4 linked regions of the Canis lupus familiaris genome follow. The protein of the gene in region 1 purifies or fractionates together with the protein of each later gene. This does not show direct contact. Links are inferred from orthologs where the notes say so. Each region holds a gene or a part of one and is shown in the gene's direction. Other genes may lie near its edges. The genes, in order: SLC30A5, CSGALNACT2, SLC30A6 and METTL9.

Region 1 (7,326 bases):
GGTAATATTTTCTTCCTTTTCAGACAAGAGGGGCTGCTTTTTTCATTATTGCTGTGATCTGCTTATTGCTTTTCGACAATGACGATCTCATGGCTAAAATGGCTGAACACCGTATCCTTTTACAGTAGATTGGAGTAATTCAGTCTTGCAGAAAAATAGAAGACTGGCAGAATGGGACAAGGAGGAGGATTGAATTAGACTGATCAGTCATGAGTGAAACTTCATGCATTAATGAAGGTATTCAAATAATGAATAAATTATTCTAAATTAAATATTTTATAGCATTTCCATCAGTATCTTCTACAGGGACAGTGAAAGAATGTTTTAGAATGGCCAGGGGCTTAAAAAAATATTTGATTTGCCAGTCAACAGAATCACTCTGTTTGATCCCTTGTGACAAATTTAACAATTTAAATACTCAAGTTAGATGTCAGTTGCAATTATTAAATATAAACTTTCTTAAGATTTAATTAAAAAAAAATCTTTGACATCTTCTTGCCTGAAAGAAAAAACTGAAATTCCTAACCTGGTAATCACTCTCTTGCGCTAAACTGTTATTTCCCCTCATGAATAAATAAATGAAAAATCTTTTTAAAAAATTAAAATGAAATAAATAAACTGTTATTTCCAGTTCAGCTTCCACTCTTCTATAACCCCAACTTTCCGGTTTTGTTTTGTTTTGTTTTAAGATTTTATTTATTCATGAGAGACACACAGAGAGAGACACAGACAAGGGAGAAGCAGGCTCCCTGCAGGGAGCCTGACGTGGGACTTGATCCCAGGTCTCCAGGATCACGCCTTGGGCTGAGGGCGGCGCTAAACCACTGAGCCACCCCGGCTGTCCCCCAACTTTCCTGTTAAATATATATACTTATTTTCCTCTACAGACATACATGCCTTGTGCTCGGTTCAGCAGCACATAGACAGACATGCCTGTTCTTTTCTGTCCACACACCTCTTCCCACTCCATTTAGCTGACCTTGGAACACCAGTTCTAATTCCTGCTGTTACACTATCTGAAAGCCCATCAGTTAACTAATAACAGTGGGACTGCATCTCTAAGCTGCCTTCTTTGCTGAGGCTTACGTGGGCAGGACTTAGATTCAGGACTGATTTGAGATGTTCTGAAAAAGCCTTAGTTCCATGACAGTAATGGTCCAAGAAGTTTCCTTCCTCTGGTCCCTTTGTCCTGCTTACAACTGTACGCATACACTTTTGTCGGTTAACTACTAAAATTTAACAACTGTATCTTAAAGCACTATTATAATTGTTTTGGAGACAACAAAAGAAATACAGGCCATTCTAATTTATAAATCATGTCCCAGAATTAAATTTTTAATTGTTTTGTTTTTAAGGACAATAAATAATAAATTTAAGGGCAACCTCAAGTAAACAGGTTTGGGACCCCCAAACTAGCCTATAATAATGTAGCTAAAATTTTAGGAGAACTTAAGGATTCAAAGAGTTAATATTTGGGATTTTTTTTTCCTTTATTGCAACTCACTTAGCTGAAGGACATCATGACAGTGCTCTAACTCACATGCTTTACACAGCCATTGCCTTCTTAGGTGTGGCGGATCACAAGGTATGTTCTTTTCTTTGTTCCTAGAATGATCAAGAGTAGCAAAAAAAAAAAAAAAAAAAGAGTAGCAACTATAACTTTAAAAGTTCTCTTAAGTTCGCAAATCGAACTCCAATAAAAAACTATATATTAAAAAAATAAAATAAGTTACCAGTAATTTACAGAACTGCGTGATACTTAAGTGGTTTAGTAATTTGGGATATGGAAGAAACATAATAGCTCCATTTTCTCCAAATATTATGTATTTAAGGATCGCATATTGGACTGTGTGTTTCTAATGAAACTTCTCTCATTTTACTCATAGGGTGGAGTGTTGTTGCTAGTACTGGCTTTGTGTTGTAAAGTTGGTTTTCATACAGCTTCCAGAAAACTCTCTATAGATGTTGGTGGAGCCAAACGTCTTCAAGCTTTATCCCATCTTATTTCTGTGCTTCTCTTGTGTCCATGGGTCATTGTTCTTTCTGTGACAACTGAGGTAAGAGGAATTTATCGGTAATAAGTAAAATGAATTGCTGTTACTTAAAAATTTTAGTTAACTACATTGTATTATACTTCACTTTAAGCTTGCAAGTATCTTAAATTATCTTGGCATTTTTTGTAATTGTTGAAAAATTTGGGAAGTAAATTTTATTGTTTAGAAAACAAATCAAGTACTATTACATTTATATTTCCATTCCTGTGGCCCAAAGAAATCTGTTCAAGAAACTCTTGATTTATGGGCAGCCCCGGTGGCCCAGTGGTTTAGCACCACCTTCGGCCTGGGGTGTGATCCTGGAGACCCGGGATCGAGTCCCACATTGGGCTTCCCTGCATGGAGCCTGCTTCTCCCTCTGCCTGCCTGTGTCTCTGCCTGTCTCTCTCTCTCTCAGGAATAAATAAATAAAATCTTAAAAAAAAAAAAAAGAAAGAAAGAAATTGATTTATTTAGTTTTTTTTTTTTTTTTTTTTACTTAGATTTTATTTATTTTAGAGAGAATGAGCAAGCAGGGTGAAGAGCAGAGGGAAAGGGACAAGCGTACTCCATGCTGAGCCTGATGCAAGGCTCCCATCTCACACCTTAAGGTCATGGCCTGAGCCAAAATTAAGAGTCAGACGGTAACCAAGTGAGCCTCCCAGGCGCCCCTAAGAAAACCATTTAATATATACCATGTGTTACAGACAAGGATTGTGGGTCATCTGGTATTTATATAATTATTAAATCATAGTACTTTTATTTTTTAATACTTTGGGGATAACCGGGAAATGCACTAATATCCTACAGCTCTTATGTTTTGGCATCTTATGAATCATTGAATTAGAACATTTGTTTATCTATAAAGGGATTAACTAAAATGTAAGATGTGAACTTTATTCCTGTGCACTACTAACTATTTTTTTTTCTTTTTTTTAATTTCTAGAGTAAAGTCGAGTCTTGGTTTTCTCTCATTATGCCTTTCACAACAGTTATCTTTTTTGTCATGATCCTGGATTTCTATGTTGATTCTATTTGTTCTGTCAAAATGGAAGTTTCCAAATGTGCCCGCTATGGATCTTTTCCCATTTTTATTAGTGCTCTACTTTTTGGAAATTTTTGGACACATCCAATAACAGACCAGCTTCGAGCTATGAACAAAGCAGCACACCAGGAAAGCACTGAACATGTCCTGTCTGGAGGAGTGGTAGTGAGCGCTATATTCTTCATTTTGTGTGAGCATTTTTCCTTAGGAAATTTAATCTCATGCATTTTGATGTTGAAATTATTTAATTTGGGAATTTCTTCAGTGCTTGTGTTTAGTGCTGACAGATACTGTGTTGGTTTTGGTAGGTTAAGCTTATAAAACTTTTGTAACTTTGTTGTTTTTTTCCCTTTTTTAAAAGCTGCCAACATCTTATCATCTCCTTCCAAGAGAGGACAGAAAGGTACCCTAATTGGATATTCTCCTGAAGGAACACCTCTTTATAACTTCATGGGTGATGCTTTCCAGCATAGTTCCCAATCGATCCCTAGGTTTATTAAGGAATCACTAAAACAAATTCTTGAGGAGAATGACTCTAGGCAGATCTTTTACTTCTTGTGTTTGAATCTGGTAAGATTTTTTATATATTAGTGACATCTTAACAGCTTAAACTTTTAATTTTGACAGTTCTGGTATAATTTTAGTGATTCCCAAATTTCTGATAGAGAGGGGCTAAAATTACATTTTCTCTCAGCGATGGGAAGATTTCAGGATTATATTCAACCTATTAAAAAAATGTTTACTTAGCAAACAATTTTTGAGGCATTTTAGATGCATTAGTTTAGTGTGCTATTTCAAATCAGTAAATATAGTAGCCTATAAAATCTTTATCTGCTTCTCATAGGATCTCACTATAGACTGGATGGATTGCTAACATTTTATATCCTAGTTTATTGAGTTCTACAGACATATAAATGAAACTATCTCCTTTTAAAGAATTTGTAAGATGAACATATTTGATTGAGCTTAATAGCTTGCAGTATATATGAAATGAAATTAAGTGTCACTTAATCTTCAAGTAAGGTTTGCATAATAGTTAAAATTCTCATGATTAAGTCCTGATAAATCTCTTGAAATGATATTTCCTAACACATTCCTCCCCTGTTTTTCTTTAAATTTATTTTAGCTTTTTACCTTTGTGGAATTATTCTATGGCGTGTTGACCAATAGTCTGGGTCTGATCTCAGATGGATTTCACATGCTCTTTGACTGCTCTGCTTTGGTCATGGGACTTTTTGCAGCCCTGATGAGTAGATGGAAAGCAACTCGGATTTTCTCCTATGGGTAGGGACACCGACCATCAAAGTGATATAACACAATGAAAAAATCCTAAGGACAGATTCCATCTTAGGGAATAAAATTTTATTACTTTTATTACAAATAATTTTTTAGAACTTTATTTTAAGGTGGCTATGCATGAAATATCCTTTCATTAACTGAATAATCAGTTTAACAGATATTAGAATCTTTGATTTGTACACAGAATTTTGATAAGACCTACCCTAAATAGATTTATAAACTTAGTTCTTTTCAACTGTTAATATTTTGAAAGACCAGTAAGCCAAAAATACAAATAATTTTGATGTAAAGCAGAATCTGTGGGCTGTGACAGAGATCAAAAGCTCATCAAGGGCTTAAAGAGAAGGAACTTCTTGTTAAGAAATTAGGAAAGGGTTTATGTAGGACTTTGATAAATATTTTAAATTGCAACAAATTTAAGTACAGAAAGACTCTTGCAGCATTAGTGTAGTGTTTAGGATCTTGGTTATCTTCTGATCGTATTTATGTACGTAGTTGAAAAATCTGAACTTAGTATACTCTTATGTAACATAATATTTATACTTTTAAAATATTTGTCATTTTTTTTTCTAAAAATATATTCTACATTTTTAGGTATGGCCGAATAGAAATTCTCTCTGGATTTATTAATGGACTTTTTCTAATGGTAATAGCTTTTTTCGTGTTTGTGGAGTCAGTGGCTAGATTAATTGATCCTCCGGAATTAGACACACACATGTTAACAGTAAGTCCTTATTTTCCTGTTTGAATTTCTCTTCATATCCCCTATCGCCTTTTCCATGCTAAAGTTTAACTCTCTATAGTTATTGATCTAGGAAGGTTTTATTTTATTTTTTAATGTAAATTAACATCTTATATTTACATTTATACTGCTCTTAGAAATTAATCCTTTTCTCTAATATTTTCGTAGTAAGACAGTTAGATGACGATCTAAACCATACGGATTTCTTTCTGACTTATCAGATGCTTTTGTTTTTTTTTTTTGTTTTTTTTTTTGTTTTTTTTTTTTTAAAGATTTTATTTATTTATTCATGATAGTCACAGAGAGAGAGAGAGGCAGAGACACAGGCAGAGGGAGAAGCAGGCTCCATGCACCGGGAGCCCGATGTGGGATTCGATCCCGGGTCTCCAGGATCGCGCCCTGGGCCAAAGGCAGGCGCCAAACCGCTGCGCCACCCAGGGATCCCTCAAATGCTTTTGTGTGGGACACCTGGGTGGCTCAGTCAGTTAAGCAGCATTCAGCTTAGGTCATGGTCTCAGGGTCCTGAGTTCCAGCCCCCATGTCAGAGCTCCCTGCTCAGCGGGGAGTCTCCTGCTCCCTCTCCCTCTTCTGCTCCCCTTGATTGTGCTCTCTTGCTTGTGCACACACACTCTCTCTCAAATAGATGAATAAAATCTTTTAAAAATAATAAATAAATGTTTTTGTGTGAAGATGTGCTTTTTAAATACCTGAGGAAATTTACAAAATGTTAAAGATAGAATCATAAAAATATTATCATTTTAATGATAATTACCCTGTAGATTGTATTTCTGCTATAGCAGTCTGTAATGTTTTCCCTGTATTTCCAAACCTTTGCATGTGCTATTTCTTGTAGTTGGCCTGCCTTTCCCTCACACCTGCCTTTCAGCCTTCATCAGGACTTTGCCGATATGTCTCTGCTAGTGAGATACTTTCCATTAATCCCTTTCTTCCCTCTCCAGAGTTTGGAAGATTTCCCTTTCATACTATTTCCCTTGTGTCTTGCTTTTTCTCTTTTTTTTTTTTTAAGTAACATTGAGGTATAACTCCTCTGTCATTCTTCTACAGTTAAAGATGTAAGTGATCTCTTCACGACCTAAATTGTCTATCATTAACTCAAATTCTAGCATCTGGCTTATAGTAGGAAATCAGCAATTAATTGTTGAATAATTACAAGTAATTAGGAATCTGGTTGGTGGAAGCATGTTATCAGTAAAATGCTTTAGATTATAGTTTAGAAATTTATTTTGAATTTTAAATGCTTACATCCTTGACCTTTAATATTTATTACAAAAATACTTGCCAAAAAATATATATTTGCACAGATGCATAAAGGTGCATGATTCATTGTGTCACTGTTCATTATGGTGAAAAAAATGTCCTAAAGAAAAGACTAGTTAAATCTGTCATTCATAGAATACCATGCAACCAATAAAAAGAATGGAGCTTATCTATATATACTGGCATAAAAAGTACTTAAGAACTGTAGTTTTTAAAAATTCCAAAGCAATACTATAATGTGATGTGTTTTAAAAGGTTTTTATATATGTAGTTTAGTATTTGCATAGAAAATACGCCATTGTTTAAGTGACTAATTCTTGGGGGTTGGATTACAGGGGACTTGGCACTATCTACATGAAGTATTTGTTTAGAGGAGAAATATTTGAGATGATGGGGCCTCTATGCAGTATTTGATTTAATTCAAAATTCATTAACCATCTTCAAGTTCATAAAGCTAACTAAAGGGATCCCTGGGTGGTTTAAGCGCCTGCCTTCAGCCCAGGTCGTGATCCTAGAGTCCCAGGATCAAGTCCCACATCCTGCTCCCTGTGTGCAGCCTGCTTCTCCCTCTGCCTGTGTCTCTGCCTCTCTCCCTCTGTGTCTCTCATGAATAAATAAATAAAATCTTTAAAAACATAAAAAACTAAAATTTTAAACTCTGACAGACAAATGTTCTGAACCTCAGTAAGAAGGGTAAATCTCTTGTTTTACATCTTTGGAAATTAATTAGAATTATCTGTCCCCATTATTTTTATATATTCTTTTTATAAATCAAATGGGTTTCTCTAAAGGAGAAATTGTAATGTTTGTAAATTAAGTAACACCCTGAACCAACTATCCAAAATCATTTTATAAGAGAGGATAATTAAGAGTAAGTAACTTTGTTTATCCTTCAAGATGTTATTGTGGCATTATTAAATCAAGATAAT
Region 2 (8,017 bases), on another chromosome or scaffold:
AAGCAGGAAACCATTCATGTAATTGGCACAGAAACCAGAAAGTTTGGTTTGAACCTCAAAGGGAGTTTTGCCAAGGCCTTACTGTCTGCACATGAAGTTTTGGTTCTTCAGTGCAGAACAAATTATCTGTTTTCATTTTTAGGCATGTCAGACCCGAACTGGCCTGAAGAGAGTCCTGTACCACTCACGAGAGCTGATGGCACTAACTCTGTGTGTCCAAGATATGCAAATGATAGTGTATATGCTAACTGGATGGTTTCACCCTCAGCGGCACAATTAATGGACGCATTTGATAGTTAACATTTCTTTGTGAAAGGTAATGGACTCACAAGGGGAAGAAACATGCCGAGAATGGAAAGTCTGCCGGCCCCTCCTTTGTGCACCTCACACTGGCTGGTGATTTTCCCTCCTGGCACACGTAGCCACTGGACCAGAGTTGTGAGTCCAGCCTTTAGTTATTCCTTCCTCTTCGGCCCTCAGTAGTACCCTGTGTTGGTCCGTGCTCATCGGTGACCACCACACATTCTGTCCTCACACATGTGGGTCCTTCAATCACTACCTGAGCTGTTTTATTTTTCTGGTTGCCACCAAACAAGGCAACAAGATTTAAACACGAAGCACACACACCAAAAGGCAACAGGAAAAATAAAATCTGGCCCAAACAACATGTTCTTGTTCAGAACAAGAGCCCAGCAAGGCCTTGTAGGGGTGTCAAAACCCACTACAGCCAGGGCTGGAGGGGATGAGGAGACCTCGGGATGGGCCTCAACTCAGCATTCGAGTTCTTGAGAACATTTTTGGTTTTATTTTTTTAATCATGGCGCCTTTTCTTAGGAAGACGTTTGATTTTTATCATGATTTAAATGATTTTTAAATTTAGCACAATGGAGAGATTTGATGCCATATTTACTATGTAGGTGGGTGGTGTGAGGGGAATGGGCTCACAGACGCTTCTGTCCCCATCACTGAGTGATCACTGCGCCCTGACAAGAACGGTATGAAGAAAAGGGGCATTTGAGTGGAGTGGCCTCCAGTCCAAGGATTGCTGACAGCTGAGACTTGGCTGCTGTGAATCCCACTGCTGCCAGCCTTCATGCACCACATGTCCAGCGCCAGAAAGCAGTGGCTCGTCTCATACATTAGGAGTAGTGGGTGGGGTTAGTGCTCAGCTTAAAAAGGACAGTTCAGCTAGTTATGTTAGAAGTAACATTGACAATGACCAAGGACTGCTACCCTCTGATTACAGTTCTGATGTGGAAAAGACAATGTTTTGGCTCTCATAGAGCTTGTGTGAAAAGGTACGTGTATCCACTCTTTCTGTCTTTGTAAGTTAATGCTGCTATAGTGAGACATTCCTGTTTATTAGATTCTGACCATGACTCATAAGCTTCTTGACATTCTTCACTGCTTGTTTGTGGTCACAGACACTCAGTACTCCTCCCATCTGTGGGGGTGGCTTTCGGGAAGTCCCCAGCTGCTCTTCTGACTGTAACTTCTAGGGAGAGGGTCAGTTCCCAACACGCTGCCTGGCCTTCAGACTTAAAGCACTGTAAAGGACTGACAGTGTCTCATCCAAACGCTGTATCTCATAGGCGTTTCACAAAAGCAGTAAAATTAGGGCATTTTTGTAGCTTGGATGAGTATGTAGCAGAGCCTCATAGTATGTGTGTGTATGCGTGTGCACACAAACCCGCAGAGAGCTGGAAAAACACGCTGTAACGTGGCTTTAGTTTAGGCCACTTTTCAGACACACTGTGATAAGTTCTTTTACAAATAATCTAGTTGTGGTAAACTTTTGGTTTTCAGATGTGGTTAATGACAGTCTTATTAAATGCAGAAAAAAGGATAAACTCTTCAAATTGTTAAAAGATACCTACTCAACAGGTGCGAGTTGCCACAGTGGGTTTGTTCCTGGCAGGGTGAAAGCTCCAGGTCTTAACCCTTGACCAGTTATCTAATGTCTATTCCTGAGTTTTAAAAGCACTCATACTTACTGGTCCTAGCAGACTATTTTCATATGCATATACACTGAAGTTACCAAGTATTAAGTATTACTGAGCATTAAGTAGCAATCTGTCAGTTATTAAAATTTGTAAAATCTATTTATGAAAGGTTACTAAACCATACCATTGTTAATTTGCTTTTGTAACAAGGTGACTAAGGAAATAATTTCAATTATGTGAATAAAATCATCTATCGTAAAATGTGTAAACTTCTTTTCTCTTTTTAACTTCCCAGTTGGAAACATCAGGTTTCTGATTTTGAAGTTTCAATGTGTAAGGATTGAAATACCACAAGGAGATCTGTCATGGTAACCCCTGGGGAAGTGACAGTGCTCAAAGAACTAGGAGGTGCTTGGTCATTGACTTATCTTGAACAATATGTAGGTGACTAGGCACATTATGGGAACTGTTAAAGTGCAGCTAGTTCCACCATTCTTTCCTTTGTGTTTCTTTCCCTGAAAGAGAGCAACAGCCACATCGAGTTCAGGTGTTTGCGGTTCTCTAGCAAATGGGGCTGATTTCTTAAAGCTGCCATTAGACAGATGTGCAAGAAGGGATGCAAAATGCATAGCCATAACTGAAAGTCTGGTACAGTCAGTGATAAACTTTTGCCCTGAACTACCATAAGCTTAAAAGACCAAGTCTTTCTGCTGGGTTATGCATGCATTCTCTGAACTCCTCCTCAAATGCCTGGCAGGGAGCAGATAGGTCAGTTGGCAAACACAAGTTGTTACCAATATAAATCTGATTTCTGAGTGTGTCGTGAAATGCCAAAAGCCTATGTCATTACACACGTGCACACACACACACACACACACACACACACACATACCTGGACAGACTGCCCCTGGCCCTCGGAGCTCTGGCTTCTGGCCTCAGCACCCATGTCCACTCTTGACGTCCCCCTTCAATCTGAATCACAGGGGCTGGAAGTAAACGTAATTTCTAGGGTGAGCGATATGTTACAGTCTTTTCCTCTGACCGTTTAGAAACCCATGCTGAGAAAAGCTAATACTAAAATACTAAAAGCCCCCTTTTTCAAGAGCATTGAACTTCCATTAGTAGTGTTTGTATGTTTGGTTTATTTGTCTTAAAAAGCACATTTCTCCACCAATTTCCACAAATGATGCTTTTCTACCATAAGGGCAGCTTATTTTAAGAGTGGAAATTTAGTTGAATATAATGCCTGAGAATGGGGCTTGGACAAATACTTTATATGTAATAGAAAATTCAAAGGGAAAGCATAATCTTCCCCAGTATAAATAAAGCATCATTTCCCCCAGTGAATGGTTTCCTCTCCTCCCTTGGGCATATTCATGTATAAGATATTTAGCAGGTGGCATTTAGGGTGGTTCTAGATGATGCCTGAGAAATCCCTAACTCTGTGGCTCTGGAAAGACATGGTGGTCTGAAGGGCATGCGTAGTGGTGGAGGAGCTTCCTCATCCCTTCAGCATGAAGATATTCACAGACCTTATCCTCTGCTCTTGTCCTTGTGCAGAAAACAGTCTGCCTGTTCTGTTCTCTCATCTCTTCTCCACAGGCAGCAACCTTGATGGCCTTGTTAGAACTCTAGGGATTCACAGGAACTGTTCTTAGCTGACATCACAAAAAATCAGAACCTCTATGTAGAGAATTTTTCAATTTGGAGCACCTATCCATTCTGCAGCCAAGGCTGGATGGGGCGGGGGGGGGGGGGGGCAGTGTAACAGCAGCAAGAGTGAGCATCACACCCAGAGTCAAAGAGGTATGCACTATCAATGCCCAAAAGAAATCATGGTTAATCTTTGCAACTCAGGTTTTGATGGCTATGTCAAGTAATGAGATAATTTTGCAGATGTTTTGTGGGATGTGCTAAATCACAGGACCTGGCCAACCGACATCTCTCAATGTGAGCCTGGCCCAGAGTTGTGACAGGGAAGCCATCTACAGGAACTTGGTGACTGCAGAAACATCAGTGTCACAAGGAACTGGGCCAGGCAGCATGGAAGGAGTCACAACCCAAGACCACTCCAACCCAACCACCATGACTTCAGGAGTTCTGTTCCACACCGGGAGGCACCATAACCCTGCATCCATTCAGAGGACACAGCAATTCAAGTTCAAAGTTAGCATGAGAAGCAAGGTAAGTACATTCCAAAACTAAAAAACAAAACAAAACACAAAAGTAACTTTTTGAGAAGGAAATCATTTTGATATTTCATAAACATAATATTTACCATGAAAATGATCAATTTCATGAATAAAAATGTGAAGTTCATTTTAAGTGTCCCCGTTTCTTTTAATCTTGGTCAGTTTTGTAAACAGTACCAGAATAAACCATATGTTTTTTGGCTGCTCTTGTCTCTCACCTCCATGCCAGTCCTTTTCTGCACATGTCATTTCCCCTGTGGAGTAAAGTCATTCCTATGGTTTGGGAAGGGTCTAGACTGGAAGAAGGAAGAACGCAAGGCTGCCTCTTACTCCCTGAGGCAAGGGACTTTGCCCAGAGGACTGTAGGGAGCCCACATGGTGCCTGTGTCACAGCCCCTGTCCTCAGATGCTTCTTTCACCAAGGGCCTATGACATGCTTCACATGTTGTGCCTCCTGGGAGCTTTATTTTTTATTTATTTATTTATTTATTTATTTATTTATTTATTTATTTATTTATTTATTTTAAAGATTTATTTATTTATTTTAGACACACACAGAGAGAGAGAGGCAGAGGGAGAAGCAGGCTTCATGCCAGGAGCCTGACGTGGGACTCAATCCCGGGACTCCAGGATCACGCCCTGGGCCAAAGGCAGGCGCCAAACCGCTGAGCCACCCAGGGATCCCCATCCTGGGAGCTTTAAAGAGGAAATTTCCCTGGAGGGTCTGTGGCCACAGGGCCTGGCAGGTCAGGTGCATGCCAAGGGTTTGGGGGACTTCCTAATGTGTGGAAAGAAAAGATTATCAGATTTTTAAGAAAAGGAGTGATACAGAGGATGGAAGGATTCTGGTCTTTCATGAGATAGTCATTGAAGTAAAAGAAGTATTGTGTGGGGGACTTGGGTGACTCAGTGGTTGAGCATCCACCTTTGGCTCAGGTCATGATTCCGGGGTTCTGGGATAAAGTCCCACATCAGGCTCCCCTTGGGGAGCCTGCTTCTCCCTCTGCCTCTCTCTCTCTCTGTGTCTCTCATGAATAAATAAAATATTTTTTTAAAAAAAGCATTGTGGTAGAAAATTGTATTTTTTTCAGAGGACCCCAATTATCTATAATCTTAAGTTTCATGGAAATAAGTAAAGACCATCCAAATGAGAACAAGCAGAGGTTATTTATTCTGAACTTGCTATAGTAAGAGAGTCAACCACCATCAGTTGGTTTTGACAGAAACTCGAACGCAGGCAGAGGAGGGAAAAGCTTTACAGTAAAAAAGGGGGTGAGGGAGAGAGGCTTCAGGCACGTTGTGCTTGGAAGTTGTTGGCAGGGGGAAGCGGAAGGTAGGCTACCTAGAAGTCGGGCATCTTATGAGATTTGCTTTGGGAACATATTTGGCTCTCTCTGATTGGTTCTGATTTGGAAATAGCAAAAGTGGGGAACGTGGCAGTCATAGACCAAGCCCCGACCATTCTGGGCCAGTTCCTACAGAGGTATGGGTCAGGGCTTCTCAGTTTACATGTGGTCTGGTCATTGTATGTCTGCATATTGTCTCTCAGTCTTCCTTTCTGATCATTTTCTTGCTTGTGAGAAGTTGGTGAATTTAGGGAAGTCTAGAAATCCAGATCTTAAAAAAAAAAAAAAAAAAAGAAATCCAGATCTTCACCACTTTGAGATTGATTGTTCAGTCCTCTACAAGGCCAACTGTATCATGAAGTCTTTTCAGCCTTTCTGTTGTATCACCATGAGGATCATCTGATGAGGAAAGTAGCTGTGCAGAAGCATTTCAGACCCTGGATAGAATGCAGTGGACCAGTATTACTACCCCTATGACATAAATAAGAATGAGAACAATTAATAACCCCTGTCAGATGCTTTGAACCCAGAATCCTAACCCAGGCCCAAGAATAAATTCCATACAGGTCCTGAGGGTCAGTTTTACAGAGCAAGTAGCTTTTACCCGTAAGGCACTGTAGAGCCTGCCCCACCTTCCCTGTGTCACTGATCCAAGGACAGTATTAGGATTGGCACACACCATGACTTACCCACATGAAATTTAGAACAATGCAGCTGTCCCTTTACAGCTTCTCCAGTGTCAATTTAAGGTAGTAATCAATTTGTGCTCCATGAATAGTTTCAGGGAGAAAATTTAGTTGTTTGGCATCATGATCTGCAGAGCGTTGCCTTTAGCTTCAATATTGTTGTCTCTTTTTGCATGGTTCTCGACCTTCATAGTAGTCACCTTTGTAGTAAATAGAATGCATCTAAAAGTTGCTTAACTTGTCCATTTTTGTGGGGGTTCTAGCATCCCAAAGTTGTGTGGCACCCCAAAAACATATTTCCTGTCTATATTATATGTTTACCCTCTAGTCTTTGGCTAGTTAACAAGCTGTAGTAAATGCAACACCTTCTGCCATTTTGACTGATTTTACCTCAGGAGAGGACTAAATTCTAAAGGAGACCTTCAATTAATGATAGTACATGCTGCTTGATATCTTCCAGCTTCGAGAATGATCCATCAGCAAACAGGATTAGTTCAGGGTTCTCAATATGAGACTATAATACATGTGAGTAAGGTACAGAGAGTTCCCAAATTATCTGAGGTAAAATGATCACTAGGCTCCCCTTCTTCTGCTAAGAGAAGCAGAATGTCTGGATTCAGGGTATTGTAGCAGTAAGTAGTACCTGAGAGGGAGAGAGTAATAGAATTTCATAAGATGTTAAGCAGCTGGCTGAGAAGTGCTGTTTCCAGTCAATAGTAATGTCTCTACTTCAGGAAGGATCATGAGGTCAAGCGAGGAGCCTGGAACTAGCTCGGCAGAAGCATCCACAAATTTTGCAGCAGAACACCTGCCCTAACACTAGGGGCATATAGCATGTCAAGGGAAGGCTAGGTAGTAAGTGATGGGTTTTGGATGGTTCCCGTGAAACTCCAAGGTCTTGTCCAGATTGCTCATGCACAAATAGACAGAAGGGCCTTCTGTTGTTTCAGATGTCTAGGGAAAGAGGTCACTGAGGAGCCACCTTCAGGTTCCAGAAAGCCTGTTCATTTTGGGGCTCCCAGAGGAGAGAATCTCTTACTAAGAACTTAGTTCATAAAGAGGTATAAAAATCACAGAAAAATTTAGCAACAATGGGGCTGAAAAATCTAGTGGAACCTTTAAATCCTGGGATCCCTGGATACCTCAGCAGTTGAGCATCTGCCTTTGGCTCAGGGCATGATCCCAGGGTCCAGAATTGAGTCCCACATTGGGTTCCCTGCGAGGAGCCTGCTTCATCTTCTGCCTATGTTTCTGCTTCTCTCTCTCTCTCTCTCTCTTTCTCTCTCTCTCTCTCTCCCTCTGTGTGTCTTTCATGAATAAATAAAATCCTTAAAAATAAATAAATAAACCTTTAAATCCTCTCAGATGTGATTTTGTGAAGGAGCTACCATAGATTTGAGTAGGTTTTAGTCTATCAGAAGAGAATGTTTTCTGCTTCTAGTTGAACCACATCCTAAATAATAGACTGTATTTTGGCAAAATGGCAATTTGTCTTTTGAAATATTATGACCTTCTTCTAAGGCTGAGAATAAGTAAATGGAATCCTTTTTTCTCTGAGTAGAGTAGGAGATCATCTACATATGGTGTCCTAACAATCACAAGGGAAATTTAGATAACTTAAATTAGATAATTTAATTTTTTTTCATTTTTCCTTTTCATTTAATTAAAATTAGATCATTTAGATCTTGATTAACAACTTGAGAAAAATAGTAGGATACTTCGGTGAACCCTTGGGGCATGACCATCCTGAAGGACAGTTATCTTCCCCAGGTGAAGGTAAGAAAGGTACTGTCGTCATTCAAACACATATTCAAAAGACAAATAGTATGTGAGTCCATTCATATGAGTTA
Region 3 (8,071 bases), on another chromosome or scaffold:
TTTCTTGTTTGTATAAGTATGCCTGGATTTTATTATAAAACTGTCATTGTAGGAAGTAGACTCATATCATGGCTTTTTAAATATTGTAATAAAGGCAAATGGATATTTGCCCTTAGTTTACTGGTTAAAAGTTTGTTTACAGAAATTTTCTTTGGTGCTTTTATGTAAAATGTCATGGGTGGAAAGAATAATTTTATAATAGTAACAAAGATTTTTTCATTTAAGAAAAATATCTTTGGTTTTGAGGGAATACATTAAAATTAAAAACTTGCCCCAGCTAAATAAGAATTTTATAATGAAGACATACATTCTTTTTAATTTTATTCTTGTTCTTGTTAAAGATTTAATCTACATATAGATGTATTGGTTTCTTAAGATAATGTGCTATTTGTAGCTGTAACTCAAATGTCTCCTCTAATCATGAACTTAGAACTCCCTAGATAACAGAAATGAGGGTTGAGATAAATAGAAAAGAAAAATTTTTAAGCCAGAACCATGCCTATTTTCAATCACATGTTGTATCTTTTTAAGGTCTCAAACATTACAGCATCAATCATAAAATATTGATAATGAAAGATCATACAGTATACATGATGACAAGAATTGGGAATATCCAAAGTTAAAACATTTTCAGTAAAGCTCATAAAATTTCACTTTGTATTTTCATTTAGAAAAGGATTAACATTAATGAAACTTGAATAACTGGTCAGTCATATTAAGGGTCTGTGTGCTTCATGCTCAACTTTTAAAATATGATATTTAAAATCATTCTATCTGCAGTAATGTAGCTCACTTTTTATTGGCATAGTTTTTAGATAACAAAGATTTCAAATGTTAAAAAATAGAAAAGTCAAGCTAATATTCTCATAAACACTGAATCACAATTATATATTACTGTATGAATAACCATCCATACAGTATAGAAGTTCTTTTACTTTCCTGACCAAAGTCTGAAGTTGAGCTTAGTGATAGAGAAGTATTTTCTATGGCTTACTTTTTATTTTATTTTCACTTTAAGCTGTTTTTTTTTTTCTCCTCATAGAATAACCATGAAAATAAGGTAATGATATAATTGGAGGCAAAGGGATTCGTCTGTTTTTTTTTTTCTTTTTTTCAATAAAGATAGAAGTTGGCGAGGCTTTCTGAATATTAGACTTCGTTTGTGACCTTTTGGATTCTGTGTTGAACTGTCATATTAACTTCTTAAAAAGTAATGCTTAAACATTAAAAGTTAGTGTGCTCACTTTAATATGGCAGTGTTTTGTAAACTATATTAAAACTTACTTTGAGCCAAAGGAAAGAATCAGTACTATCTTTCCCAGATAATGGTAAAAGTTTATTCTAAGACAGTCTGCCCATTGAGGTTGTTAGGTTTCTGACCATGCTTTGTGCTTAGGAAGAAGTGAAGGAAAAGCAGATACGAGAATTCCAATTTAAGTAAATATACAGCAGTCTATTTATAGGGTAAAATTCTTTATATTTTGTACAGAAACTAATTCTTTTGGTAGAATGAACCATTTAGTTTGGCTTTGGACTCGAGTCAGAAAAAGAATTTCCTTGAAGTGCTTATCTCAAATTTTAATCTGGTCTTTTGTATTTTTTCTTCAGAAGAAAAAAAAATGAATTAAAGGGTTCAGCTGCATAAAGTGGATTTTTATCCTAATGGATTGGAAATAAATGGTAGATTTTATTTTGCCTTTAATTATTTTTATTTGAAACTTTTTGAGGTTTCAGAGGCTGCAGTCTAGCAGTGAAGGAGTAGCTTGTATTGGACTAACTCTTGCCCATAATAATTATAAAGTGAACAAAATATAAAAAGCAAAGATTAGAAGACTCTAGGGAGCAAGCAAAACCAGGCAGAAACTGCACAAAACCATGTCCTAGAAGAGATCCACATTAACTAGCTTTTACCCCAAGGGTAACTTCCAGTGTGTGCAAGGTGCTTAGAAAGAGACTTCAAGCAGAACCTAATAGTCTTTTTGGGCTAAAGAGTCACTTGGGGCTTGTAAAACAGCTGAAAATCAGGAAGGAAATCTTAAGCATTTCAGAGATAAAAGCCCCAGAATATGCCTACAGATTTCTTTCAAATCCTTGGTGAACTCCAAAATCGTATCCGTGCAGAGTAATATTCAAAGGAACCTAACAGAAAGCCATAGTTGGGGAGTCTAACGAGCTGTGGAGAGATGGAAGCTGCCAGGGGAATCGAGTTCGAGGTTTCAATCCCACTAAGAAGGGTCTGGCTAATGCATGCTAACCTCTCAGAACAGTGCCTACCATGGGAGTGCTTGGTTGGCAATTCCTGCCCAGCGACGACCCGTTCTCCAGCCACCGCGTAAAGCTCACCGCCTCCTTAAAACGCTCCGTGGGCTTCCCGTATCCCTTAGAAGGCAAAACAAAAACCGAACCAGCCTCCTTACCCCTAAATTAGAAATTCCTGCTCGGTCTGCCCATTTACCGTTTAGATCTCTTGGCTTCTTGCCCTCAAGCCCAAGGCTCCAGACACTGCCTTCTTTCGGACCCTCGGACACCTACTGCTTGTTTTATTTGGATGGTCTATCCCGCCTGGAATGATCTTCGCAAAAAGACTGGTCACTCAGAAGTCCCATTTCACTTCCTTAGAGCAGCTTTCTCGGACTACTATAAATCAGCGACCCAGTCACTCTATTGTCTACACGACACTCTCCATACTGTAAACACTTATTCCCCCTCCCTCCTTGTTTCGTCTCCCTGACTAGTGCCTGATGCACACACGCGCTGCGTATTCTACACAGAATCTTTTTATTTCCCGTGTTCTACAATATTAGTTCCCTAAAATTAATTTCACGAGAAATCAGCGCTTTGGGAAACAGAACACAGTACTGTCTACACTGGTCTGAGTTCCAATTCGGCTATTAACGGAGAACCGGATGTATACGCCTCTGGGCAAGTTTCTTATTCGGCCTGGTTCCTCAAACGGGAATACTATTTCACAAAGCACTGCAAAAAAAAATTCTACCCCACAAGTAAAAGCGCTTCAGCACTAAGTGAGATTTTTCCTAACGTTACAAAGAGAACCTAGGCGCTCCCTGAAGACTGGGTCTTCAGCTCCCTCGGCTCCACCTACGTACCCCGGAAGCGCCTGGGCGCGGCCGCTCTAGCTGCTGCCTTCGCCTCTATGGCACGCAGGGGTAGCCTGGGAGCGGGCGGAAACGAGAGTCGGCGCACGCACTTCCGCCCCCGGGTCTCTCTCGGCCAATCGGCTTCCGAGGCCCCACCCCTTCCGCTCTAGGAAAACCCCAGCTCCCAGAGCGTCTTCCGGCGGGAGCTGTGCGGCTCCTTATCATGGTGAGTTGGCTGGGGGTCTGAGGGTTTCTGTCGTAGATGATGCCTCTTATCTTCTCGCATCCCGAAGCGGCCTTGACATGCCTCAGCTGCCCAAAGGAGGGGTCCTCGGAGTCGTGCTCGGGCCCCCGCAAGAGAAGCGGCTGACGTCCGAAGCGTTCATTGCCCGCAGAGCTCCGAACCCCCCGCGATCCCTCGCCAGGTCCCTTAGGCGCTTGGCATCCCGGCTCTGCTCGCGGCCGAGCTTTCAGTTCTTAGCGTTTATCACTTTCCCGTGCCGAGATATATACTTGATACAGAAATTAAAGTCTTTGCCGGCGCCGGCGTCTGCACCAGCAAAAGCTCTGAAAACAAGTCCAACCAACGGCGACCGTAACTAGTGATGCTTACTTACATCAGTGACGATACCGTTGTTCATAAAGAGGGTTATGAGTGGGGTGTTGAGGTGGACGCCCCACTCTGCAACCTGGCTTAGTGGAGCGCCAGGGAGCCTGATACAGCAGCAACTTTCAGAAGGCCGGTGGTTGCAGAGAGTCCAGGTGTTGGTAGAGCGTCTTTATTGCACGTTTTTTCCCTGCGTTTGCAGATCCCACTATATACCTTACGGTTTCGGGGGAATGTGATTTTTTTTTAAAAGAGAAATTCGTCTTTTTTATGCTTTTACAAATCAAATATATATATCTCTGAATTTTATCGAAAGATAAGTTGATTGTAATCTTGACGTCAAAAAAGGTACACACCAAAAAAAAAAAAAAAAGGAACACACCGTTTTATCAGAAAAATTCTTGGATCTCTTGATAGCCTCCGTAGGAGAGAAGCACCACTTGTCAGTGCCTAAGCCATTGTCACTCTAGTACGTTTTTTCCTTGAGTGGAAATGGTCCCCCAAAAAGGTCTTATTTATACTTTCTTTTTCTATTGTAAATTTCCTGTAATCCCTCCTTTGCACACAGGAAGTTGGTAAAAGTTTACTGTCGGTGAGGCTGTCCAAATAGCCTTCGAGCTACTTTCTTCAAAATATTCACCACTGTGCAGCCAGAATTAAATTTCTGAAATTGGACTGTGTCACTCCCTGCTCACCCCCCCCCCCCCCCGCCCCTTGCTTCAATCCTTTCCCTGCCATAATCCTCAAGATAAAGTCTTATATGGTATGGCACACAAAAGCTATGTGTTGTCAAGCTGCTAATGCTGCTGTCTTGTGTGTGTGTGTGTGTGCGCGCAAACCTTCTTTATAGCCTCTTTTTTCACATACATACATTCATATTCCAGTCACAGTGAAGAGCTTGCAGATGATGCTCTAAGGATTAGGCCTTTGCACCTAACTTGTATATGCTATTCTATCTGCTGGATTCAATCGTCTCCTACCCCTCATCCTTATCAATATAACCCTTATATGTCCATTAGTCTCTTTCATGAGACTTTCTCCTATATCTCAAGATACTATTAGGTGCTTCTGTTGTGCTCCCATGGTAATTAGTGCTAATTACCAGTAACATCTGTAGCCCTTACCAGACTATGTTAAAATTGTGTATTTACTTGTCTTCCTCATTTCCTAGACTGTAAGCTCTTTGAGAGCAGGACCTCTGTATTCACGCTGGTGTTCCCAGACCCTTGTAACAGTTCCTGGCCCAGAGGAGGTTTTCAATAAATACCTGTCTTTAAAACACCAAATAAATAGCTATGGCACTAAATTTTTTTTTTAAACATTTTATTTATTTATGACAGATACAGAGAGAGAGAGAGAGAGGCAGAGACACAGGCAGAGGGAGAAGCAGGCTCCATGCACCGGGAGCCCGATGTGGGATTCGATCCTGGGTCTCCAGGATTGCGCCCTGGGCCAAAGGCAGGCGCCAAACCGCTGTGCCACCCAGGGATCCCTGGCACTAAATTTTTATGCTTGAAACCATAATGCAAAAAAAAAAAATAGTAGCATTTAAGGTTTATTTTAGAAGTTTTGGGGAAGAAAGGGTTTATGAGTCACCCATGTTTTGTTTATTAAGGTGTTACTGTGCAAAACACAAGCTATCTTAGAAAATGTAAAGAAAATATAGCCCTTGTCATTAGTGAAGTTGCTAAAAAATTAACTTAAAATGCAGGATGACAAGATGCAGGCTATCCTGGCTAATTTGCAAAGCAAGTAGGGTAAAGAACAGTATAGTTTGGAATAATCTAGGAAGGCTTCACATAGAAGATCAGCCATGAAACAGTACTTTACACTTTACTCCATTACTCTTAATCTGTTCATTACTCTCATTTGGAGGAGGAAACAGGTCAAGTAATTTGCTTAAGTATTACAGGATTGTTAGAGCTTGGTTGGACAAGTCTGGCCTTTTCACTCTTGAGTAGTATGATCATGAGACGAGGGGTACACCAGTTTAGTTGGAGTTGATTCCCTATCTGGAGCAAGAGATAAAACTGAAAAGAAACAAGCTAAATCACTTGAAAGCATTAGATTTCAGGTTGTAAAATTAAGAGTTTATCATGATAGCAGTGGGGGACCAATATAATTTTGGAAAGTGACATGAACTTTAGGATTTTTGTGGGGTTTTATTTTAACCAATATCAGAATGGCATCAGAAATGGCCCTCTACCTTTTAGAAAACACTGTCTTAACCCAAAACTTTAACAAATAAAGTGGGATGAAGTTAGAGGATACCCAGGGATAACAGTGTTGAGCAGAATTTGTGCTTGGGACCAAATATCCTACACATAATTCATTAAGAATAGGGTATTTTCATTAACATGACCATTAGCATCTCAAATGAAAATAGAATATTGTTCCTTTTCAGCTGAATTAGTTTAGCAAAGACTTAGAGTTACATATACACTAGTCTTTATTTGGATAACAAAATTAGTAACGCTTTTTTCTAATGCTTTATATTTTAAGTGTGTTTTACTTAAAAAAATTTTTATTGTGGAGATTTTCAAACACAGAAAAGTAGAATATAATATAATGAGCCCCCGTGTAGGCCCCTTGGCCTCAGTTAATCAACAATCTGGTTTTTAATGGTGATTTCTAGTGTTCAACTTAGTTTTCTGCCTTTTCTGAGTCTCAACCTAATGTAACTAATGACATGTCTGAGATTCGAAGAAATGGGATATACCTTTTTTTTTTTTTTTTTAATAACTACTGAGATGGTCCTAGTAGCTAACTAGGAAAATCATACCTGTGCTGGAGTTGGATCTGAAAGTTTCCCTCATTTTAAATCTGTTAATACTCAGTTCCACTGCTTTCTGTGAAATTTAAGTATTTAAGTCAAATTGGCCAACAATAGTGAGGTGGCAATGTAGTGTGGCTGTTATGGTGATTGTGGCCTTACTGTCAGGAAAGCATTTTGCTAAAATTAAAGTCCAAACAAGTAAGTGCATGGCGCTTAGCAAACAAATTATTATATATGACCCACTGAAAATTGTGAAAGATTTTTTTCCCCTAGAAACAATACTTTGCTTTTGGAATAACAATTGAAAATTTTTTTTCCCAGTTTATCTTTCCTCTCTAGGATTGTTTTTTTTTTTTTTTTTTTTTTGGGTATTATATTCCCAAGATAGTAAAATTGATCAATTTTTTTCCCTTTACAGCTTCTTGGTTTTATGTCCTGTTATGAAAAGTCTTCTCCATCTGCAAGATTATATAATTATACATCCATAAATTTCTTCAAATACTCTATAGTTTTATATTTTAGTTTTAACATGACAAAAAACTAGAATAAGAAATACAATGAGAATCTCAACTTGACCTTTTCCAAAACCATTTATTGGTAACTCATATTTTCTCCTCCTGATGTTGGATACTGCCTTAATCATAAGCTAATATCCTATGTGTGCTTAAACTCTCCTTTAATAAAAGCTAAAGTTTCCCGTACTTGAGTGGCAAATAACTCTCTAGTCTCCACTGTTTCTTCTCTTGGTGGTAACCCCACTGTTATGCCCTTTCTCTGCTGGTCCCGTACTGTGTACTAGCAAGGACTAAAGAGGCTATCCAGGATGTCAGATACTTTGCCTAAGAGAGAACCTCAGAGATTTTTCTAAAATAATAGTTTCCAAACTTTTCATATATAAAGCTTTGATTAGGTAAATTGAATTATTTTATTTCCAGTAGAGCTATCTGGCAAATGGCAAATGGTTTGCTTTTCTGGTTCAAAATTAACTATTCCATTTCAAAATAAAAGTGTGTAGTCTGGAGCTAAAATCCCTGGGTTTGAATTTCTGCTTAGCCATTTGTTAGCCCTTGGACAATTTACTAAAAATCACTTCTATTTCATAGATGATTATGAGAATTAAATGGATAAATACTTGTCAAGTGTCTAGAATAATTCCTTGCCACATACTGAGTGTTCAGTATATGTTAGTTGTTACCATCATATCCCATTACAGGATATGAAAAAGATTAGATGCTTCAATGCTGATTTGTTTATTTTTTATCTTAAAGGGGACAATTCATCTCTTTAGAAAACCGCAAAGATCTTTTTTTGGCAAGTTATTACAGGAATTTAGACTTGTAGCAGCTGACCGAAGGGTAAGTTATCTTTATTAATTCTAATTTTAATCATTGCACAGACAACATTATGACATTGAAAAAGATAATTTTTAAGGCATGTAGAAATTACTCGTGATCCCACCACACACTTTTTGTTTTTGTTTGTTTTTTTAAAAAATATTTATTTATTCATTCATGATAGACAGAGAGAGAGAGAGGCAGAGATACAGGCAGAGGGAGAAGCAGGCTCCATGCCGGGAGCCCGATGTGGGAC
Region 4 (7,326 bases), on another chromosome or scaffold:
AAAAGACAAGGTGCACACCTGGGGAAATACAGCCCTGGCTTCGCCTCCAGCATATTTGGTTACCAAGTGGAGGTCTAATGAGTTAGCTGTGCCACAGCTAAGCAGATTTGATTTCTTCCTGGTACCAGCACACTGCTCTGTAGTCCCTTGTAGCTTCTATCTTGTTTGATGAACGATGTTGTGATAAGGAGCACAGACTTGACTTCGGATGCTAGCTCTGAAGCAAGTGGTGTGTAGCAAAGTGGAGACAGTATATGCAGCTCGTGGAGTTAGTGGATGGTTTAAGTGAGACCATCCGTGCATAAGGAATGTTTACTTGGCTAAGCCTTAATAAGAATTTAGTAAGAGGTAGCTATTTCTGCTGCTGCACCTGTCACCACTTCTCCTCTTCCCATGGTGTCAGCCGCCCATGTCAGGGATAATTGTGGGTGTCTCAGCAGGTGTTCGCAGGATCGGGACTAGACACCCAGTCTAGTGCTCTCTCTGCTGCGTGCTTCCTCCACTCTAGGCCAGCTAGGTCCCCACCTTGGCCTTCTTTCTGATCCCAGGCCTGTGCCACTCTGGTGTTTATAAATGGGAAGATCTGCCCTAAACCCTTTTAGGGGCAAGGGAGAGCCTATGTAAAATAATATTGGTTGAGACAGATTAGAATTTATGCTAGTTTTTAGTCTGACTTCTGCTGGTCATGTGTTCCAAATGGTCTTACTCGTCTGAGTTTGTCCTTAGCTGCTGTAAATGAAACTGAAAAGTAACCCAAGTGACCTGATGCTTGAGTTTCAGACAGGGGTTTTTGTTGTTGTTTTTGACTTAATGGTTTTCATAGTCTTCATCCAGAATGGAAGAGAAATTAAAATTAGAATCATGGCATGTGTGATGCAAATATATTCTCACCAATGTTTTAATTTTAGTATACGTACAATCTGAGATGTGCTGGACGTGTTTTAGTGACCTGGTAAATGTAGACCAGATGAGAGGGGAAGGTCACCTCACTTGTCTGCAGCTGAATAGGATAGCACTCACTCCTACGTCTGGTAAATATTGCCTCATGTCTACTCAGAGGCAGTCCCTTTAGAAGTATGAACTCTTTGCAAGTTATGATCAGTATATCATTATGTTGAAACCCATTTGGGGGTTTCAAATGGAGCTGGGCCCGCCAAGATCTAACAGTTAGCTGACAGCACCTCAGTCTGAAGTCCTCTTCAGATAGTCTTAAAAGGGAAGCTGATGTTTAAAATTTTGGAGAACTAAAGTGCCGGGGAAGAATAAATACTTGCAACTTTGGAGTTTCATGTTTCCCCTTATTTCCGACTTCTGCATGGTTAGTCTGAGTGTCGGAAAAGAGCCCTTGATGATTTCTTTTGAGAGTGCTGACTGGTGAGGAAACTGCTGCCCCTCCCCTGCACCAATGACAGCCTCTTTGCAAAAGGGAGAAGTGTGGATAATGGGTCACACCAAGCCTAGTCCTGTAAGAATTTCTCTTTAAGAATTCTCATCCTGGGACGCCTGGGTGGCTCAGTGGCTGAGTGTCTGCCTTTAGCTCAGGTCGTGATCCTGGGGTCCTGGGATTGAGTTCTGCATTGGGTTCCCTGCTCAGCAGGGAGCCTGCTTCTCCCTCTGCTTATGTCTCTATGAGCTCTCTCTCTCTCTCTCTCTGTTTCTCATGAATAAATAAATAAAATCTTCAGAAAATTTTTTGGAGATAACTCCAGACATAAAAAAAAATAGGAGATATGAGATAAGATATCTCATATCTTAGAGGATTCTTTTTTTTTTTCTTTTCTTTTTTTCCCTCCAATGTGGTACCCTCTGAAAAGGTTGAAAGTTTATCTTTTTGGTGGAGGAAATAACAAAAAAGATGACTTTAGGGGTGCCTGAGTGGCTCAATGGATTAAGCACCCGACTCTTGATTTGCTTTATCCCTCAGCACCTCCTGCTCCAAAATCACTTTACTGTGATCCAAGCTAGATCCAAGCTGGATAAATAGAAAACTGATTTTTGACACTTTTCTTGGAGAATTTCAAGCATACACAGAAGTATGGGTAGCTTGGTGAACTCCCTGCTGCTCCATGTCCCAGTCTTGTCTCTCCTCTCCCCCCATCTGTGAAGCATTCCCACATGATTTTAGGGTAAATCTCAGATATTCTCTTTTCACATCTGTCAGACTATATCTTTAAAAGATAAGGATTCTTCTTTAAAATAATACTAATGAAAATAGTTTATGAAAGTCATATAAACAGATGAGAAAAAAAAATCAGAATATTACTGAATTCACCCATGGTCCTCGTGCCCAAATAACCATTGTTAACATTTTGATATATTTCTTTGCAGATGAGAAAAAAATTATTTTAAGACCTTTTTCTACCTTCCCTGTCCTATGACCCAGACTTTGTGAACAAGTTTGAGATTATTAGCTTTATTACAGCTATGATGAGATAGATTATTAGAACCACTTTCTTTTTCTTTATTTTTTAAAATAATTTTCATTTCTTTATTCATGAGAGACAGAGAGAGAGGCAGAGACACAGGCAGAGAGAGAAGCAGGCTCCTCACAGGGAGCCTGACGCAGGACTTGATCCCCGGATCGGGATCACACCCAGAGCCAAAGGCAGATGCTCAACCACTGAGCCACCCAGGAATCCCCCCACTTTCTTTTTCATAGAGAAAAAAAATCAATATAAGCAGAATTTTAAAAGTATATCTATTATGGGATGGTTATGCTCTATAGAAGGAGCCATGGCAGCATTTCTTTTTTAATGACAAGTACTTTTTAATTTACAGAAATCTGGATTTTCAGAAACCTTGTTCTTTGAAAATATTCAGCAAGTATTGCATAGTGCCTATCAAGTGCAGTGTGAGTTTGCCTATATGGAAACGACATTGTTGATGACTAGCACATGCAATTTTAAGAACATTTTCAACCCTTTGTTTGGTGAGGTCCTCTTCTCTAAAGCAGCAAAGGGAATTTTCAAGGTTAATCTGAAACTTTTGGGCAGCCTGGGTGGCTCAGCGGTTTAGTGCCGCCTTCAGCCCAGGGTCTGATCCTGGAGACCCGGGATCGAGTCCCACATTGGGCTCCCTGCATGGCGCCTGCTTCTCTCTCTGCCTGTGTCTCTGCCTCTCTCTCTGTGTCTCTCATGAATAAATAAATGAAATCTTTTAAAAAAATCTGAAACTTTTTTTCAGCTATTCTTTTATTACTTATTTGTCTGGGGGAAGAAGACCATTTCTATAGTGTTAGACATTTCAAAATTAATCTGTAGGGGCTTAAAATATAAATGTATTAGGTGAGGAATAGCAATTGATTAGATAAAATGGAAGAGAAAAGAAAGAACCTTACCGACATAAAAGAGAATCAGATTGATTTCCAGGCCAAGAACGATCCTGCTTCCCTTCACAGTCTCCATTTCTTGGGGTGTGCGTGTGCGGTGGTGGGCAGTATGCATTTGAAGAGAGTGAGCTCTTTTTTTTCTGTCTCTTTAGAAAAGAAGAACTGAAGAGAGGAACTCTTATTAAGGAACCATAACCGGGAACTTTTTGAAATTGTGTAAAAGATTGTTTGTAACCCAGTTTCACCATTTAGAGTTGAGATTTTAGTATAGGGTACATTTCTAAATGTGCATATGGTAAATTGTTTCTTGAATTTGTAGACATTTTGAGGGAGATTTTGATTTACATGTAGTCTTTATTCCCAGGAGAGAGTATTGTTTGACAGATAAATTGTTCCTTTAAATTTCCAGAGTATTTTGGTCACTGATCCTGGGGTACCTACTGTGTGCTCAGTGCTGGGCCAGTCACACTGGAAGCAGAAGGAAGTGTTTTCATGTAGAGAGAAGAGAAAAATTAATGAACAATACATCGTGGTATAATGAAGAAATGCTATGTGACATTAACTAGCTGTACCTCAGATTTGTGTAACCCCTTTCTAATGTGTCTTTGAGACCAAGAGTGGGCCCTCTGTTGAAGTTCCCTCCTCCTCCCTCTCCTGCCCCACGGAGGCCTCATCAGTCGGGTTCTTCCTTGGAAGCAGCAGAAACAGACTCTGGCTGATTTCAGTGAAAGGAAATTGATTGAAAGGATTCAAGGGTAGCTCACACAGTCATGGGAGGATTGGAGAATCATGCGTAGGGTCTAGAGCCAAGAAAAACACCTCAGAAAAACATGCTGTAAAACTGATCTGAAAAGTGTACTCCTGCTGCCGAGCACTAGGGACCATGGCACAGACTGCACTCTATTGTTCATAACACTTGATGCTGCCCCAGCTGCTTAGTGTCATGGCCACTGCTCTGCCCTCCCAGAGAAGGAGCCTACGTCCCTCTTGTCTGGGTCACTAGGTCTTCAGTCTGTGTCCCAGGCGAGTGTTCTGAACTTAAGTCATGTGCCGGTGCCTTCACCATAGGAATAGAGGGGAAAGCTACTTCCCCAGGCTTTGACTGCCATAGGACTCTAGGAAGAGGGTTCAGGTGCCGGGTGTCTTTGTACTCTTGGCACATATCATGCATTTTCTCACAGAAAGTTACTCTCTGTCTGAATTTAGTAATATACTTAATATGTGTGCATTTTAAAAAACATCACAGTATATACAAACAACCTAGAATTGACATATACCATCATCTGTGTGTGTCTGTGTGTCTGTAGCCAATGCTTGGTGTGAACCTGAAGACTTTATCCAGCCACCCCATCCCCACTCCTTAAGCATCTGAATGCTCTCCTAGGCTTGCAAATGACCGGGACAGATTTCAGCCACTAGTCCAAGAAATGCCAGGCCGACACATCCGTTCTAGTGCGCGCTCTCTCTCTCTCTCTTTGGTTTTGGAGCTTAACTTGTATAAAAGTGTTATGAAAAGTTAGGGAGTAGCTCAACTTCACTTGAAAAACACATCGATGATCTGTCGTTATAAATTAAAAGCCTCATTAGTCTGTTTTCGGCCTGATAAATCTTTCTAGTTAATACATTGCATACATTTACTATATCTCGGGTGTATTTTCTTGCATTTATCCCTAACCTTTCTTTCACATTTTATGGGTAACTCTCTGCTTTCATATTCCTGTGTTTAATGAGGAGTTCACTAAAACCATGAACTATTACAACCCATTTGGTCTAATGAAGGGTAATATCTGAAACTGTCAAAGATGGTAAAACTATAAGTTTTGGATCCAGACAAACCTGGGAATGCATTTCTGCTCTTACCCTCACTAACCTTGTAGGCTTGGGTGAATCCTCAGCCCTCTGGGTCCATACTTCATTTCTGTCCTCTTACCTCGGGGATATGAGGAAGATGATTCATCAAAGTCCCCGGTGCTTGGCACATACCAAGTCCTTGGCAAATGTTGTTCTTCCTCCCTTCTCTCTTTAAGTAACTTGTTTGTTCAAGAATTTAACTTAATGTTTCTATTTGTTTTAGTAGGTGGCAAGTGGGAGAAACCATCAGAAATTTTAGAAATCAAGGGACAGAATTGGGAAGAACAAGTGAATAGTCTGCCTGAAGTTTTCAGAAAAGCTGGTTTTGTTATTGAAGCTTTCACCAGACTACCATACCTGTGTGAAGGTGACATGTATAATGACTACTACGTTCTGGATGATGCTGTCTTTGTTCTCAAACCAGTATAGACACGTGGAGGCCCAAGTCTTCAGAGCCCACCCCAAGAATGTACACTCCAGAAGAGGGTCTGCGTTTGCGGTTATGTGAAGGGAGGACCTTTGGGGACTGCCATTCTAAATATCATGTAGGAATTTAAAAAGCCAAAATACTAATTATTTCTTTGTAGTGTGTAAAAGGAATGTTTTTAAAAAACAAAACCCAACTCTTTGAGGATTTTTATCAACTCTTTACTCAGTAATACAGGTCACACTCCAAGTATGGAAGATATTTTTTATACTTAATTGCAGTAGGGACTCATCCCCAGTCAAAGCAATAGTCACGACTTCACATGGAACCAATAAATATGGATTGTTTTTAATAAAATGAAGACTGGCAATAAAGCTGTCCATTCAGTTGCAAATATTTGGTTACAAGGTATAGCCACTGATACTCTTTCATGTTTAGAAATTCTGTCATTATTCAAAAAATGTTTTTAATCATGCTAATAAACTTTTTTGGAGATGACTCTGGCATCATGTTTGAGTTAATATAAGGCTCCCCTAGGATCTTTTATTGCTTTGGCTTCAAGAGTGCCCACATAGTAGCATTAGGTGAAAAGTACAGTTGACTATGTGATAAAGGCTTCCGACTGGGTGAGGGGCTGGGGGATTATTGAAATTGTGGTGAACACTGAGGCAGTCTAGACTAACCCTTGAAAGAGCAACCTCATTCAGATCTAATACTTCAGGGACCATCTCCCACTCCCATTTTATGTTGCTTTGGGAAGTGCAAAACACTGGCTTCTGACTTTGTGATAGCTTCCACACTAGACTCAGAATTCTGTTTTTCTGGACAATCTCAGGTTCTCATAATTTTTTTTTATTCTTTTTTTTATTTATGATAGTCACACACACACACACACACACACAGAGGCAGAGACACAGGCAGAGGGAGAAGCAGGCTCCATGCACCGGGAGCCCGGCGTGGGATTCGATCCCGTGTCTCCAGGATCGCGCCCTGGGCCAAAGGCAGGCGCTAAACCGCTGCGCCACCCAGGGATCCCTCAGGTTCTCATAATTGAACCATTCCGTTGTGTCTGCTGATAAAACGCAGCCTAAAAATGTTTTAATTCCCCTTCTTACTCTACACATGTATACCTCTTTCCCAGAACCTGGTTCTTCCCGAAATCCTTAACTGAGTTTATTTGCCAAGAATATGGATTGATGAAGACCATGTTAGACTCCTACATTCTAGAATCCTTGAGTGCCTCCAACCATATACCCACAAATGTTGCAATAGAGGAACTCATTAGCAAGATCAATAACCATTGTGCATATTCCAAAGAGAGTAGAGCACTTAACCCAGAATCTAAAATCTCAATAATAACAGAGACACGGATTTAAAATCGTGGTTATTAACAATATGTTATTCTCATGACTTTATTTCTTTTTTCAGCCAGGTGTTTCATTAAGTATTCTCATTTATATGCTCATAGAAGTCATCAAGTCAACACATTTACTGCAACACCTGGGTATAAAGGAGAATTAAAGCCTTGAAAAGAGTTACTTTATTATTCATTAAGAACAGCATCCCCACATCCTCACACCAATATCTTCCACTGTTATGTGTTGTCATAAGAAGAGTTGGGTTATGTGATTTATGCAAAATTGTTATTGGTGCATTCTAGTGCTTTTTTTCCAGGGATTCAAATACTTAGCACCCTAGATTATAAAAATAGAGGAAATGA

What was found.
Region 2: the proteins of SLC30A5 (region 1) and CSGALNACT2 purify together in Homo sapiens (co-immunoprecipitation; 3 studies listed by BioGRID and IntAct, counting the BioPlex papers as one, with this or other methods). This does not show direct contact. The link is inferred for Canis lupus familiaris from reciprocal best matches to the Homo sapiens genes SLC30A5 and CSGALNACT2.
Region 3: the proteins of SLC30A5 (region 1) and SLC30A6 purify together in Homo sapiens (co-immunoprecipitation; 5 studies listed by BioGRID and IntAct, with this or other methods). This does not show direct contact. The link is inferred for Canis lupus familiaris from reciprocal best matches to the Homo sapiens genes SLC30A5 and SLC30A6.
Region 4: the proteins of SLC30A5 (region 1) and METTL9 purify together in Homo sapiens (co-immunoprecipitation; 3 studies listed by BioGRID and IntAct, with this or other methods). This does not show direct contact. The link is inferred for Canis lupus familiaris from reciprocal best matches to the Homo sapiens genes SLC30A5 and METTL9.

Annotation. Positions count from the first base shown.
Region 1 is NC_049223.1:53,459,435-53,466,760, forward strand, and holds part of SLC30A5 (zinc transporter 5), read left to right. Parts: intron 1-23; coding exon 24-111; intron 112-1,508; coding exon 1,509-1,585; intron 1,586-1,886; coding exon 1,887-2,057; intron 2,058-2,979; coding exon 2,980-3,268; intron 3,269-3,439; coding exon 3,440-3,648; intron 3,649-4,204; coding exon 4,205-4,362; intron 4,363-4,971; coding exon 4,972-5,101; intron 5,102-7,326. UniProt on the Homo sapiens protein: Together with SLC30A6 forms a functional proton-coupled zinc ion antiporter mediating zinc entry into the lumen of organelles along the secretory pathway.
Region 2 is NC_049249.1:4,093,379-4,101,395, reverse strand, and holds the start of CSGALNACT2 (chondroitin sulfate N-acetylgalactosaminyltransferase 2), read left to right. Parts: upstream 1-3,669; 5' UTR 3,670-3,749; exon of another isoform or gene 3,750-3,839; 5' UTR 3,840-4,127; intron 4,128-5,283; exon of another isoform or gene 5,284-5,952; intron 5,953-6,170; exon of another isoform or gene 6,171-6,367; intron 6,368-8,017. Other genes in the region: proto-oncogene tyrosine-protein kinase receptor Ret, read left to right, coding at 143-300. UniProt on the Homo sapiens protein: Transfers 1,4-N-acetylgalactosamine (GalNAc) from UDP-GalNAc to the non-reducing end of glucuronic acid (GlcUA). Required for addition of the first GalNAc to the core tetrasaccharide linker and for elongation of chondroitin chains.
Region 3 is NC_049238.1:25,481,477-25,489,547, forward strand, and holds the start of SLC30A6 (zinc transporter 6), read left to right. Parts: upstream 1-3,200; 5' UTR 3,201-3,321; coding exon 3,322-3,324; exon of another isoform or gene 3,325-3,749; coding exon of another isoform or gene 3,750-3,860; exon of another isoform or gene 3,861-3,862; intron 3,863-7,749; coding exon 7,750-7,836; intron 7,837-8,071. UniProt on the Homo sapiens protein: Has probably no intrinsic transporter activity but together with SLC30A5 forms a functional zinc ion:proton antiporter heterodimer, mediating zinc entry into the lumen of organelles along the secretory pathway.
Region 4 is NC_049227.1:23,420,486-23,427,811, reverse strand, and holds the end of METTL9 (methyltransferase-like protein 9), read left to right. Parts: intron 1-3,337; coding exon of another isoform or gene 3,338-3,443; exon of another isoform or gene 3,444-3,494; intron 3,495-5,402; coding exon 5,403-5,608; 3' UTR 5,609-6,104; downstream 6,105-7,326. Other genes in the region: IGSF6 (immunoglobulin superfamily member 6), read right to left, coding at 3,338-3,443. UniProt on the Homo sapiens protein: Protein-histidine N-methyltransferase that specifically catalyzes 1-methylhistidine (pros-methylhistidine) methylation of target proteins.